Linked DNA regions of Caenorhabditis elegans. The protein of the gene in region 1 interacts with the protein of each later gene in a pairwise test. Each region holds a gene or a part of one and is shown on either strand. Other genes may lie near its edges.

Region 1 (6,344 bases):
TTTTTTGGTTTTCCGGCAAATTTGGCGATTTGGCGGACATTTTCATTTTGGCAAATTGCCGATGTGCCGATTGGTCGGAGATTGTCAATTCCGGCAAATTCCCAATTTGCCAGAAATTTTCATTTTGGCAATTTGCCGATTTGCCGATTGGCCGGAAATTGTCATTCCGGCACTTTGCCGATTTGCCGGAAATTTTCATTTTTGGTATTCCGGCAAATTCTGCGATTTGCCGGCTGGCCGATTTGCCGGAACTTTCAAATTCCGACAATTTGCCGATTTGCCGGAAAAAACTCGTTTGTCGCCCACTCACAAATTTTTAAATTGAACTTTTTTAAATTCTAATTAACTTTAGAACCTTTAAGAAAAATTTTGAAATTCTTGCTCAAATATTGACATAAACCGCCTATATACAGTACCTCATAAAAGCCTAGAAAGAATATGTATTCAAATTCAATCATAAATGTGTCACCACCTCATCATAAACAAATCTCTTCTCCCCTCCCATATTTTCTCACAATTTTATCACCATGGTTTCTTCTTCTTCTTCTTCTTCAGAGAGAGAGAGAGCGTCATTTCTCACACACACACACAAAATTTTCCTGCATCTCTCACACACGTTCTGTGCTCTTTTGTCTCTTGTTTACACGTCTGTTGTCTCTCGGACTTTATTTACGAAATGCTGCGTCTCTCCTGCCCTTCTCTCTCTCTCTCTCTATTGCGCCCAGAGACCACACTTTTATTGCCATTGTCGTCGTCGTCGTCGGAAATTTTCTCGCTTTTTCATCTTCTTCTTCTAAATAATCATGTTTTTAAAATTCAATTTTAATTTCAGGAACCACCGAAAAGCCACCACCAGCAAAAAATGTCCGCCGAAGAGCCAAAGTCCTACGTGAGTTTCGTTTCTAACGGTGTTGTAACAACAACAAAAAAGAAAAGAATAGAAAAAAAACCGTATCAGTACGGGGGTGATGAAAGTGCGGCGGCGGCCCCAGTCAAGCGTAAGAAATAATGAAAAAGAAAGGACAGAAACTTTTGGAGAATTTGCCCGTTTCTGTAAGTGTCACCTCTATAGTTCACCACCGATGTTTGGACTACTACTACTACGTGTTGAATCAGAAGGAAGATCAGACGCCGCAAAAAATATATTTGTTGATAGTTGATTTCGAAATTGTAGTTCTTGACACTGATGATTGATCGTTAAGTGAACAATTTTAAAGAAACGATTTTTGCATAACGTCCAGTTTGCAGCAATTCTACAGAATCAGGTTGAAAAGCTTCGAATTTAGAAACGTCTTCAGCTAAAGTGAGACCAAAATGTTTCCATCAAAAGCTCAAAAGGCATTTTTAATCTCTTTTTTCCAGCTTGAAACAATTTCCAGTTGATCTTTAAGATGCTTACCACTCGAATTTCAAATTGCTTCTGCAGTCTTCTATGTTAAGCCGTGTCTCATCATGAATGTCCTTTCTCTTCGATGTCTTGTGCCTTCTTGAAAATCTTCCGACGAGTAGTAACCTCCTTTTTCTCGAATATAGAACAACAAATGGCAGTTTGGCAATTTGGCAATTTGGACAAAACACTAGTACACCATGAGAACCTGCCTAAGATCAATGCCACATTTTTTCTCGCCTTGGCCCTAGTTGTGCAACACCTTTTCAACGTTTGAAGCAGGGGTGGGCGGCAATTGCCGGTTTGCCGGAAATTTCAATTCCGGCAATTTTCCGATTTTCCGCAAATTTCAATTCCGGCAATTTTCCGATTTGCCGGAAATTTCAATTCCGGCAATTTGCCGATTTGCCGGAAAAAAATCGTTTGCCGCCCACCCCCTGGTTTTTGAAGTGCATTTCGAGCCTTTGAAGTTGAAGTTTGCACGTGACGCCCAGACTCGAAATGCGGTAAACAGTAATGCGAAGACGCAAATATTGAGCATGGATTTTGCTCCGAAAACTTTTGTTGTTTGAGTTTCAACAAATCATACAAAAAAAATTTCGAGCTGAAAACTGTACCAACACTCATTATCGATCTCTTCCTCTCCAGAAAGTTCCGTTCCTTTTTTCAATTTCACTGTTTTCTTCGCCTACAACGACACGATGAATCATGGCGAGAAGTCGTATGCGAGAGACTGTACGAGAAGTCGGAGACACAGACAGATGCACAAAAAGAAACATTTCAATGTCGCCTCGCGCACATGCTGTCACCCTCCCATAATTCCATGCTCTCTCTGACTCAATATTGGGCGGCGCTTGCGAATGTTATGACTGTTCAACTGTCTGGTTTCTCTCTCCTCTCACACTCTCAGCTTTTGTTGAAACTGTTTACCGGTCGTCAGTTCTTCGTTTGACTCGCGTCCTGAACGATCGCTTTCAGTTTTCCTCAGCTCAACTCTTTACACTAATGTCTTCCACTCCTCAATTCCTTCGCTGGTACGAGCAGAACAAGGTAAAGCATGCCTCTATACATGGGGGTGTCAGGCTGTCCCATGTTTGATCTACAAAAAAAAGCGGGAATTTTTTCTCCTGCAACTTTTCGGAGATCAAACTGACATGGGACATTCTGACACCAGCTCGAAAATGGAGAGCATTCCAAGTTTGTTGGTTGCCACTAAAGTGACACATTCCTCTCGTTATCTGCTCGCCCACACCTTCGGTTCCATTATCAACATTCGAGATTCCCGCCATATTTCTGGTGTGTTTGCTCGGCGGCACATCACAACAAAATTTTGTGCAAAATGGAGCAAAATGGAGCTAAAAAATAGAAAGCAACTAGACAATGTAGAAAAGGCATTTTTTGTCGTCGTCAGCTGTATGAAAGTCTGGGGAGCGCGAAGATTGGTGGATGCAGATTGGATAACAGCTCTTCCGCTTTTTCGGGTCTCGCTTCTTGCTCGCTTATTCTGTTCACCAGTGTGTGACACGCGAGGTCCCCCCCCCCCCCCAGCATATATTTCTACATGATTACCCTACTGAACATTTTAAAATGGCATATGGAAGAAGAAATGGTTCTAGAAAACTCTACTTATAAATCTATTACCGAAACACAAAATTCTGAGAATGCGTATCGCGCGACATATTTGACGCGCAAAATATCTCGTAGCGAAAACTACAGTAGTTCATTGTTCATTACATGACTACTGTAGCGCTTGTGTGTCGATTTACGGCATTTCACAAGCGCTACAGTAGGCATTTAAGGAGTTACTGTAGTTTTCGCTACGAGATATTTTGCGCGTCAAATATGTTGTGCAGTACGCATTATCAGAAAAATGTGTTCCCGTAATAATCCAATTAATTTTTTAAAAAATTAAAATTTTTAAATTTTTCAGCCAGTACCATACCGCTCAGTGCTCCAGGAGAAGTTCGAGCCCGGACAGACGCTCATCGTCAAGGGATCGACGATCGACGAGTCGCAACGCTTCACCATCAACCTTCACTCGAAGACCGCGGATTTCTCCGGAAACGATGTGCCACTCCACGTCTCTGTCCGCTTCGATGAGGGCAAAATTGTGCTCAACTCGTTCTCGAATGGAGAATGGGGAAAGGAAGAGCGCAAGTCGAACCCAATCAAGAAGGGAGACTCGTTCGACATTCGCATCCGTGCTCACGACGATCGCTTCCAGATCATCGTCGACCACAAGGAGTTCAAGGACTACGAGCACCGTCTGCCACTCTCCTCAATCTCTCACCTCTCGATTGACGGAGATCTCTACTTGAACCACGTTCACTGGGGAGGAAAGTACTACCCAGTACCATACGAGAGCGGACTCGCCAACGGACTTCCAGTCGGAAAGAGCCTCCTCGTCTTTGGAACCGTTGAGAAGAAGGCCAAGCGCTTCCACGTCAACCTTCTCCGCAAGAATGGAGACATCTCGTTCCACTTCAACCCACGTTTCGATGAGAAGGTAAGGGTTGATATATGCCACGAGGCACCACAGAAAGGAGAACCACGACAAAGGAGAACAGGAACCACGTCCATTTTTCCGTGCCGCGAGAGGCACCACATTTTCAGGATCTGGAACCGTACCAACTGCGGTTTTTGCAGTTTTCTCTCGATGAAAAACGAAACAACGATGCTCCGATGTTATGCGTGTTGTTTAGCGTTTTCCAAAAGTTTTTATTTCAAAAAAACATTATTCTGAACGCTAAACAACACGCGACGCGTCATATCGGAGTATCGTTGTTTCGTTTTTCAGCGAGAGAAAACTGCAAAAACCGCAGTTGGCACGGTGCCCCAGATCCTGAAAACGTGGTGCCTCAAAATTTGCGGAAAACTTGCGGCACGGAAAAATGGGTGTGGTTTCTGTGTTCTCCTTGTTCACCTGTTCTCCTTTCTGTGGTGCCTCACACACACATACACAAAAAGACCCGCATTTTGTTTGCTACATTTGGGCAAATATGGCGCTCTTCAACAAACAATTTTATGAGACACAAAAGTTTTGCATGTGTCTATTTCTATTGGTAAAATTGGTGAAAGGACAAAAAAAAATCGATTTCAATAGAAATTTGACCAAATTCTTTATTTCCTTTCTTCCAGCACGTCATCCGCAACTCTCTTGCCGCCAACGAATGGGGAAATGAGGAGCGCGAGGGAAAGAACCCATTCGAGAAGGGAGTCGGCTTCGACTTGGTCATCCAAAACGAGGAGTACGCGTTCCAGGTGTTCGTCAACGGAGAACGCTACATCTCGTTCGCTCACCGCGCCGATCCACACGACATTGCCGGGCTTCAGATCTCTGGAGACATTGAGCTGTCTGGAATTCAAATCCAATAAATTATGTATTGATATCCCCTGTTCCCCCTCTTTCTTCTGTTATCCAGCTCTCCCATTTCTCTCTCTCTCACTGATCAATCTTCCAAAAGTCTACTGCCCCTCTCCCCCCCCCCCCCCCCCAAAAAGAATCATTTCTCTATTATTTCGCACCGGCAACTGAACTGTAATCCCGCGTTTTTCTTTTTGTATCTTTTCTCACCCCCCACATTGTATTTTAATAAAATTGGATAGCAGATTTTCTCGTTGTCATTTCAGGTTTCATATTTTGAAAGCGGATCATCATGAAAAGTTCTGCGAAAAAAACGCGAAAAGTAAGCGAAAACTCGAAAAAACTATATTTGAAAGTACCGCCGTTTTTGTCCAGGAGAGCGCGTTTTCCTCGAGTCACTACAAATTGCACGGAAGTCGAATCGTGAAAACCGCGCGTGTTTCCCATCAGGTTTGCCTACAAAATTTAGTTTTCTTCTTATTGTTAAATCAATAATTATTATAATGTATAATGTGAAGCTCGAAATCTTGAATAATCCTGAATAATCCTGCTATAAACTCGGGTTTCTAAAGTTTTCCTCAGGATTTTTGTTCCCTGGAATGCGTGGTGTCTCCCATTTTTTTTTGGATTTTTGGATTTAAATGCATTTTTCGCTGTTTTTTCTCTCAAATAAGCCGGAAAAATTGAAAATTTTCAGTTTCCGATGAGCGCCGACACGTCGGCTCGTCTTCTTCAGCTTGACCCTCTACTCGAAGCGAAAAATCCGAATGTTCGAAATGAAGCGGCCGCTGCGTTCGGGAAATTGTCAATTTTAAGTGAAGACGTGAAAAATGTTGGTTAATTAATATATATTTTTTTTAAATCACAAGAAAAAGTAAAAAATCACGGGTGAAAAGCGAGTTTATATATTTTTTTCCCTCGAAATGCCGAATATTAATTATAAAATTCAGTATTTTTGGGTTATTTTGAGTATTTTGAAGGTGTACTAACGGTTTAGACTCAAAAACCGTTAGTCTTCGTTTAAAATACTCAAAATGCCCCAGAAATACTGAATTTTATAATTAATTTTCGATATTTCGAGTGAAAAAAACATATAAGCTCGCTTTTTTCCGGTGATTTTTCACTCATTTTCAGTGATTTTTTCACTTTTTTCAGGGGTTTATCTTTTTTAAATACTTTAAATATATAAATAATCTTAATTTCAGAGTCTCAAAAAACACGCGGCATCTCAACTCTGGGAGACACGAGTATCTGCTGGAAAAGCGTTGCAGGCGACACTTCAGAATGCTCCAGAATTCGAACGATTGAAGGTTTTTCTGAGCTTTTTGAGTTATGAAATTCTTTAAAAAAATCGATTTTTCAGAATGAAGAAGACTCATCGGTATCGGAAAATGTCAGAAGCATCGTTGTGATGAACGTTTTACGATCGTTCAAGCCACTGTTAAGTGATGATGAGTCGGCACTGAAAAAGTCGGAAAAAGATCGAGGAAATAATCAGAAACAGCGGGAAATTGTAGATCAACACCTTGAATACAATCGGGCCACCGGAATAAGCTCGGTATCGATTTTTCCGGCAGTTTTCTGGGGAAAAAA
Region 2 (6,634 bases), on another chromosome or scaffold:
CAAAAATGCTCTTCTGCGGGCATTCACAAAAAATAGGTCTTCTATTGCCCATGCCAATTTTTTGAAAAAATAACTTTAACTTTAAAAACCAGTTTTTTTGCGGCCTTTAAAATTGAGCAATTTTTCCTTTAAAAAATTTCCAAAAAACACCATGGCCGAATTTGTATTTTTCGCGGCCACGAGACTTCAATTTTTCATGGCAATGTTTTAAGAAACTTTTATGGTTTTTACAGTTTAAATTTTTTCCACCATAGAGCATAACTTGCCACGTGGCCGAAAAAAAACGGTGGCGGAGTTTCTTCAATTGGTTCTTTCTGCCACCAAGACTAAATGCGGGGCCGAGGTTTCACACGTTCTAGGCCACGCAATTTCTTTTTTGAACTGTTTTTCTTCTTTCCGTTCCTTCAATTTTCTCCGTTATGGCCTAGACTTTCTTGTGAAAAACTATAGTTCTTTCAATTTTGAAATTGCGAAAAATCGGCAAAGTCGACCTGCTCAATATGATGACGTGGAAGATTCTGCATGAGAATTACACAGTGTGTCATCACCCCTCTTACACTTTTGTTCTCTCCCATCACAGCCTCCCATACACACAATTTCACTACAGTTTTGCTCCTCGCGCGGCTTGATTATCATTATGTTTATATGGTCAAAGCCGAGTTTGAAGTACGCCCGGGCGGCGAATTTGCATAACCCCACAGAGAGACAAAGTACTGTGTCGGTCATGTTCGATCAGTGGTTAACAGTACATGTATATATGAGATTTGTTTTAAAAGAGCAGCTTCTTCTCTACCACCACCACTTGAGTCTACGTTTGCCCCACAGAGGGTGAACAAACGGCGCTAGGAGCCCGAGTTATTTCGAGATGTGTCACTCTTTTACAAGTTCGTCGCCACGTTTGACACTTTTTAATTTTTTTTGTGTTTTGTGCATTGGTAATTAATTTGTATATTTTTAAAAGTTATTTGAAAAAGTTGGGTCTCGCCGCGAAAATTTCGAAAATTGTTTTTCAGTCCAATTAGTTGCTATAATAATTTTTTGGTTTTTTTCTGTAATTCCTCAGCTTTCTGCTTTTTTAAACACTCAAGTTTTATTTTATTACCGTAACTCCCTTTAAAAAAATTGCCCAGGCATGAAATTTTGTGAAAAATACGGTATCCGATCTCGACACGACAATTTTTTGTTAAATAAAAACGGGTGTGCACCTTTAAAGTGTACTGTACTTTTACACTTTTGTTGCTTTTATATTTTCGCCGATTTTTCATAGTTTTTATTACAAGTTATTACAATTTATTGATTTTTAATTTTTTTAAAATTCTAGTTTTAAATAAATAAAGATTTTCAACGAAAAATTATGAAAAATCGATGAAAATTCCGCAGCAACGAAAGTTCGAAATTACAGTACTCTTTAAAGGCGCACATCGGTTCGTAATTCACAAAATTGGCGTGTCGAGACCGGGTACCGTATTTTTTCCCATTGAGCAAGTATTTTTATATATTATAGTTTTACAGGATATTTTAAGTTTCGGTTTTAGTTTTTCTACAACAGCTTTTCCATCATTTCCCAACTTTGTTCCAGGTGACACTCGAATTCTGCCAATTTTCACACGCAATCCCAGCGCAAAACGATTTAAACAGTAGAGTATTTAGTAAAGTAACGATGTTCATGCTTGTTCAACGAGAAACACACATAGTTTTGTTTGCTTAACGGATCAGGAACTTTTCCAATCATTTGTCTCCACTTCTACCTCGGTTAACAATGGGTTTAGAGAGTTCAAGCGTGCTGCTGAGATTTCCGGAAAATAGACAATTTTCACTTTTCAATCGGATTTCTTTTTAAAATAAAAATATAGCTTTTTCGGATGGAAAACTAAATAGTTCTGATAAAATTTAATTTAATTTTTTAATAAAAATTAAATTTTCACTCAACTACGGTAGATCCTTTTCTGTGCGTCTTCGGTGTTTGCGTGTTTGCGTACCCATTTAGGCCGCCTATCTTTATTATTTGAATTTTGGTGGATTTTTATCATAATTCTCCAATTTTTTGAACTTTTCGCAACATTTCCCGCGTTTTAATCCATAAAATTGTTGTAACAGCTGTTGAGAATAACTTGCAACCGAAAAACGCGCGTGTTTTCCGCATTTTTCGCACACTGTTCCACATTTCGGATTATCTTCACCACAAAATCTCGCCTTCTTGGGAGATCGCTCGCCGCCTATGTGTAAACGTCTCCTGTTTCCCAATTGAAAAACCTCAAAGATTATGCTTTCAGTATATTTGAAATCAGATACCTCTAAACTCCCCAATTTTGTGCTCCCGTTGCTTGCTTCTAACTTCCTTTGTTTATTTTATTCATTTTTTTCAACTTTTTTAGTTTCGAATTCCAGGTTTGTGCACTCACTACGAAATCTCTTCGAAATAAAAGCGAGTAGGAAAGTAATCACTAGCGAAAATGACGGATTCTCAAAGGTAAGAGAAGAGAAATCTGCTCGAGCACGGTTTTTTGTTGCATCTGTCGACGTTATTGGCTTCGATTGTGTGAGTCACTAATGACAGATGTCTGTGTCCAAAAAATAACTTTTTTGAACGAGCTGGTACCTCCGCCGGCTGTCTTTCGCATCTGTCCCCGGTCACTATGTATTCTTCATTTATTTCGGTTTTCAGCACTCAAATGGGTCGTGGAAGACACGCTAAGCGAAACAAGAGCACCGCTTCCGTCGGCAGCAAGAAAAATCGCACACAGTCGACTGCATCTGGAAAATTCCAGCCAAGCGTTGTAAGTGATTAATGATTATCAATTTCGATTTCAAATAATAATTTTCTATTTTTCAGGATGGTTTCACCACGTTTATCGTGGCAGTTTCCAGACTAGGAAAGCAAGGACAAGAGTTCACATGGCATGATCTGAGAAAGGTTTACCATAAGGAGACCCAACGTCAACTCACCGCCGAAGAGCTCAATGCGATCTTCTCATCGAAGAACTTGACCAAGTAGACTGAATTTCGTTTTTTTTAAATCTAATTTCACTTTTAGACGAGAAATCTTCGAGCTTCCAAAGGTCAAAAGGTTCATGACATCGATGGATGGGAGTATGATGTGCAGGTTTCGCCTGATCGCCGATCCACAGGAAGTTTACGATGACGATCTCCCTCCATTGATGTCCACATCGGTCGAAACCGACGGTAGGCACCCCTAGTTTCAGAAAAATAATTTTAGTAGCTAATTTTTCTAGTTATCACTGAAGACACGTCATCCGATCACTCACAAGCTGTATCACCATCAAGTGGGAATCCGATTGCGATCTCAACAGACTGCGATGACAAAGCAGCTGGTCCAACTTCGGATTTAAGCAAGTCCGACAACTCTCCATCGCAAAGGTCTCTGGCACAACAGTCTTCAATGACTGATGACGAAGGATGGGTGTCTGGGAAGGATGTAGGTGGAAGTATACCCAATTTTTAGTATATTCAAATTTTCAGGTTCGCTCGGAAAATTCATCGCCGGTTGAGGATAAGGATGAGGTTGACGGTTCTAAGATGGAGATGGAAGACGATGTCTTTGAAGAAGATCAGAGAATCGCTGCTGAAAGCGATCAGGTCGACAGTGCAATGGTTGCTGATGTGATTATTGTGGAGGAGGCAAAAGTTGAGAAGCTTTTCAAGGCTCAAGAGATTGTGGCTCCGATAGTGCTCACGGAATCAATTGATGCCGCCTTTGAAGCAGTTATTCAATCAGTTTCACATGCGGATGCAACTCTTTCCATGACACAGTAAGTTTCCCTTATCGTCCGCCACCATCAACACTTTTACTTTTCAGAAACGCTTCCGAAGAGGCGAAAGTGCACGCGACGCCGCCGTTGCCCGCCGAAAGAAAAACTATGGTGTCCGCAGAACTCGCCAACGGGAAACCCATCAAGCATCTCATCGAGAAGTTCGATGCCGGCGTCAACTTTGCAGAGCACAAGCCAAAATCCATTTATGCGCAGGTTCTCGAAGAAATTGGAGGCTCCGCGCCTAGAGTGGATGAAGTGTTTTCGGCGTCAAAGAAGGAGGAACACGCGGAGACTGAAGTGACAAATGTCATCTTCAGAAGCACTTCTACTCACAGTAGCATCATTGCGAACGGGAAGGAGCAGCTGGCCGAATTCGTCGCCGAGCAAGAAGCCAGACAAAAAGTCACTACTCCTAATCCAGTTAAAGAGGAAACTGAGAACGCGTTCTGTGCCAAAGAACAATCTTCAATGTCTTCATTGGATCGAGAGTACTTTGCATCCAAGACTAAATTGAATGAGGATCTATTTGCAGAGGTACTAATATTTTAATAATCAAGTTTTTGTTTTTTAATACTGAAATTTTTAGCTCGGAGTCAAAGATACCGATGGTTTCCAGCTCAAAACAGTCGACAGTAATGGCAGTGGACCAGGATCCTCGGAGATCATCACAGTCATTGAGACTCCATTGAAGGATGATCACCGAAAACGAGCAGATTCCGTGGAGGTTTGCTGATGCGATTTTCTGAATTAAATTATTAAAATTAGTTTCAGAGTGACGCAGATGTTCCATACTCATTGTGCAGTGAAGATGAAGCGGAACCGATGACAATGATCGACAAGTCGATGAAAGTATCACAAAGTGCCGAGCAGTTGTCCCCTGTAAAAGAAGAGCAGAAGGCTAAGACTGTAGTAGTCAACGTCGAGCTGGACGGCAATCGTGCGGATCCCACAATCAAAGATCGCATTGCAGCACTGCAGGCGATAGTGTCAAAGCAACATGTGCCAATCGCAAAAGTGGACAGCGTCGACGATGATGTCAGGATTCTCAGCAGAACCGAGGAGCTTCAACATATGGCACTGGAGGCGAAACCTTCCCCTCAAGCGGTAATTATAAATATTGCTCAAGAAAGTATATTTATTTTAAATTTTCAGCTCGGAGCACTCCGCCGCCGCCACGTTCGATTCATGCGAGGATGCTGCGTTGTCCAGTAGACTTCACCTCCACATCTCACAATCACTCCTCACATCCACGTGTCATAGTGCTTAATTGGTGCTATTAAATCGCCGCTGTAAATTATCAGTCCTCACCACACTCTATATTTTATCCAGATAACTTTCTTTTGTATGTGTGTGTGTGTTTCGAGACAATTATATTCTAATTTCTAATTTTATACCCCCTCCCTTCTACCGTGTGTGGTTTTCTAGTTTACGTGTTCTCAGGGTAGCTGAGAACTTTTCCCCCATTCAACAACTAGAACCAACACGAGTTCTAATTTTTATAACTCTAAAATTCCACGCGCACAAACCAATTTCGCCGTTGTTTCTGTTTTTGTTAAATGAAAGAATATTTTGATGATTTTGAAGGAAACATTTATTATTCTTAGCACAAATCAACATCCTTGCACGCCTTGTCTGGAGAATCCTTGTTCTCAATATCCTTTTTCAGCTCCTTCTTGACCTTCTTCAGCTCTTCCTCACACTCGTGATGCAACGGCAACAGCATAGTCCAGCAAAGAGTTCCGATGTTCACATCAAGCCATGCATCGAGATCATCATCTCCAACCTTCTCTCCACCCTGAAATATGTGAATAACGAGGAAAATTGGAGATATTTGGAGCACAAACCTCGACGAGAGCCTTGCAGACATCACAGAAAACACCGTGATGCTTCTTGAGATTGAGTGGGTTAGCTGGATTGGCTAGAAGTGGAGCAGCGGCGAGCAAGACAAGGAAAAGACACGGAAGAATGCGAGTCATTCTGTAGATTTTAAGATGAAAAACTGGAGAAATGAAGCGAAAATGCACCCGGAGCAGTGATGCTCGTGTCTTTTATCAACTTCGCGGCGGCACTGATAAGGAATCGAATCGTTTCTGATGTTTTCAGCATGGAGGAAAAGATCAAAGGACATTATAGAATACACACCGGGTCGTTCACACATCAGATGCCGATTTTTCGAACTGATAAGATCGCTTAGAGGAGTAGCTTTTCGCCTTGACGGAGAAAATATTGATTAATCAGGTTAGCAGTAAAGTAAATGGTGTGGGCATGTGATTTCTTGATAATTTGAGGAAGATGGAGGCAATCAATTTACTTATTTCAACAATTCTGGGGAAGCTTGAACAAAATCAACAAAGTTAAATAAATACGTAATTAGATAAATATTCACATTTCTTCTTTACAAATAGGCTCTCCGGATTTTTCAACTTTCAAATGCTATCGTCGCTTCTCGTGAGCGCATCCCAGGCGATTTGTCGATATCTGAAAGAGAAAATTGACATTTAAAAATTTAATTAAAAAAAAAAAAACAAACCTCTTGAGCTGCTGAACGGGCTCACTGGACGACGTGACGCCTCTTCCGACGATGATGATGTCGTTCTGCTGTACTTCGATCGCCTCGTCGACACCTCTCCACTGCTGACCGGCCGAGTCGGATTTCGCGTCGAGATTCACACCGGGCGTCCAATTGAGAAGATCCGAGCAAGCAGACACTCTCGTCTGAGTGATGAATCCAGAAATCACGTCACGATTCTCGTTGGCAATCTTGACGGCGGTCTCGGTGTATCCTTCCAGCGCAGTCAAAGATCCTTTGGTGCTGAGCTGCGCGATGAGGAGAACTCCACTGAGCCTGTAAGTCGGATCTT

The links. Proteins that work in one complex are often made in the same cells at the same time.
Region 2: the proteins of lec-1 (region 1) and T07C4.3 interact in a two-hybrid assay, tested with the Caenorhabditis elegans proteins (2 studies listed by BioGRID).

What each region holds. Positions count from the first base shown.
Region 1 is NC_003280.10:13,194,717-13,201,060, forward strand, and holds lec-1 (Galectin), read left to right. Parts: upstream 1-2,229; 5' UTR 2,230-2,392; coding exon 2,393-2,437; intron 2,438-3,317; coding exon 3,318-3,893; intron 3,894-4,525; coding exon 4,526-4,762; 3' UTR 4,763-4,997; downstream 4,998-6,344. Other genes in the region: btf-1 (BTAF (TBP-associated factor) homolog), read left to right, coding at 5,455-5,583, 5,957-6,061, 6,115-6,309. UniProt on the Caenorhabditis elegans protein: Binds galactose.
Region 2 is NC_003281.10:10,349,769-10,356,402, forward strand, and holds T07C4.3 (ANK_REP_REGION domain-containing protein), read left to right. Parts: upstream 1-2,386; 5' UTR 2,387-2,453; coding exon 2,454-2,470; intron 2,471-2,665; coding exon 2,666-2,777; intron 2,778-2,833; coding exon 2,834-2,991; intron 2,992-3,034; coding exon 3,035-3,183; intron 3,184-3,233; coding exon 3,234-3,436; intron 3,437-3,480; coding exon 3,481-3,770; intron 3,771-3,817; coding exon 3,818-4,307; intron 4,308-4,359; coding exon 4,360-4,497; intron 4,498-4,538; coding exon 4,539-4,877; intron 4,878-4,925; coding exon 4,926-4,985; 3' UTR 4,986-5,349; downstream 5,350-6,634. Other genes in the region: spp-1 (Saposin B-type domain-containing protein), read right to left, coding at 5,374-5,568, 5,618-5,749; umps-1 (Orotidine 5'-phosphate decarboxylase), read right to left, coding at 6,200-6,251, 6,304-6,634.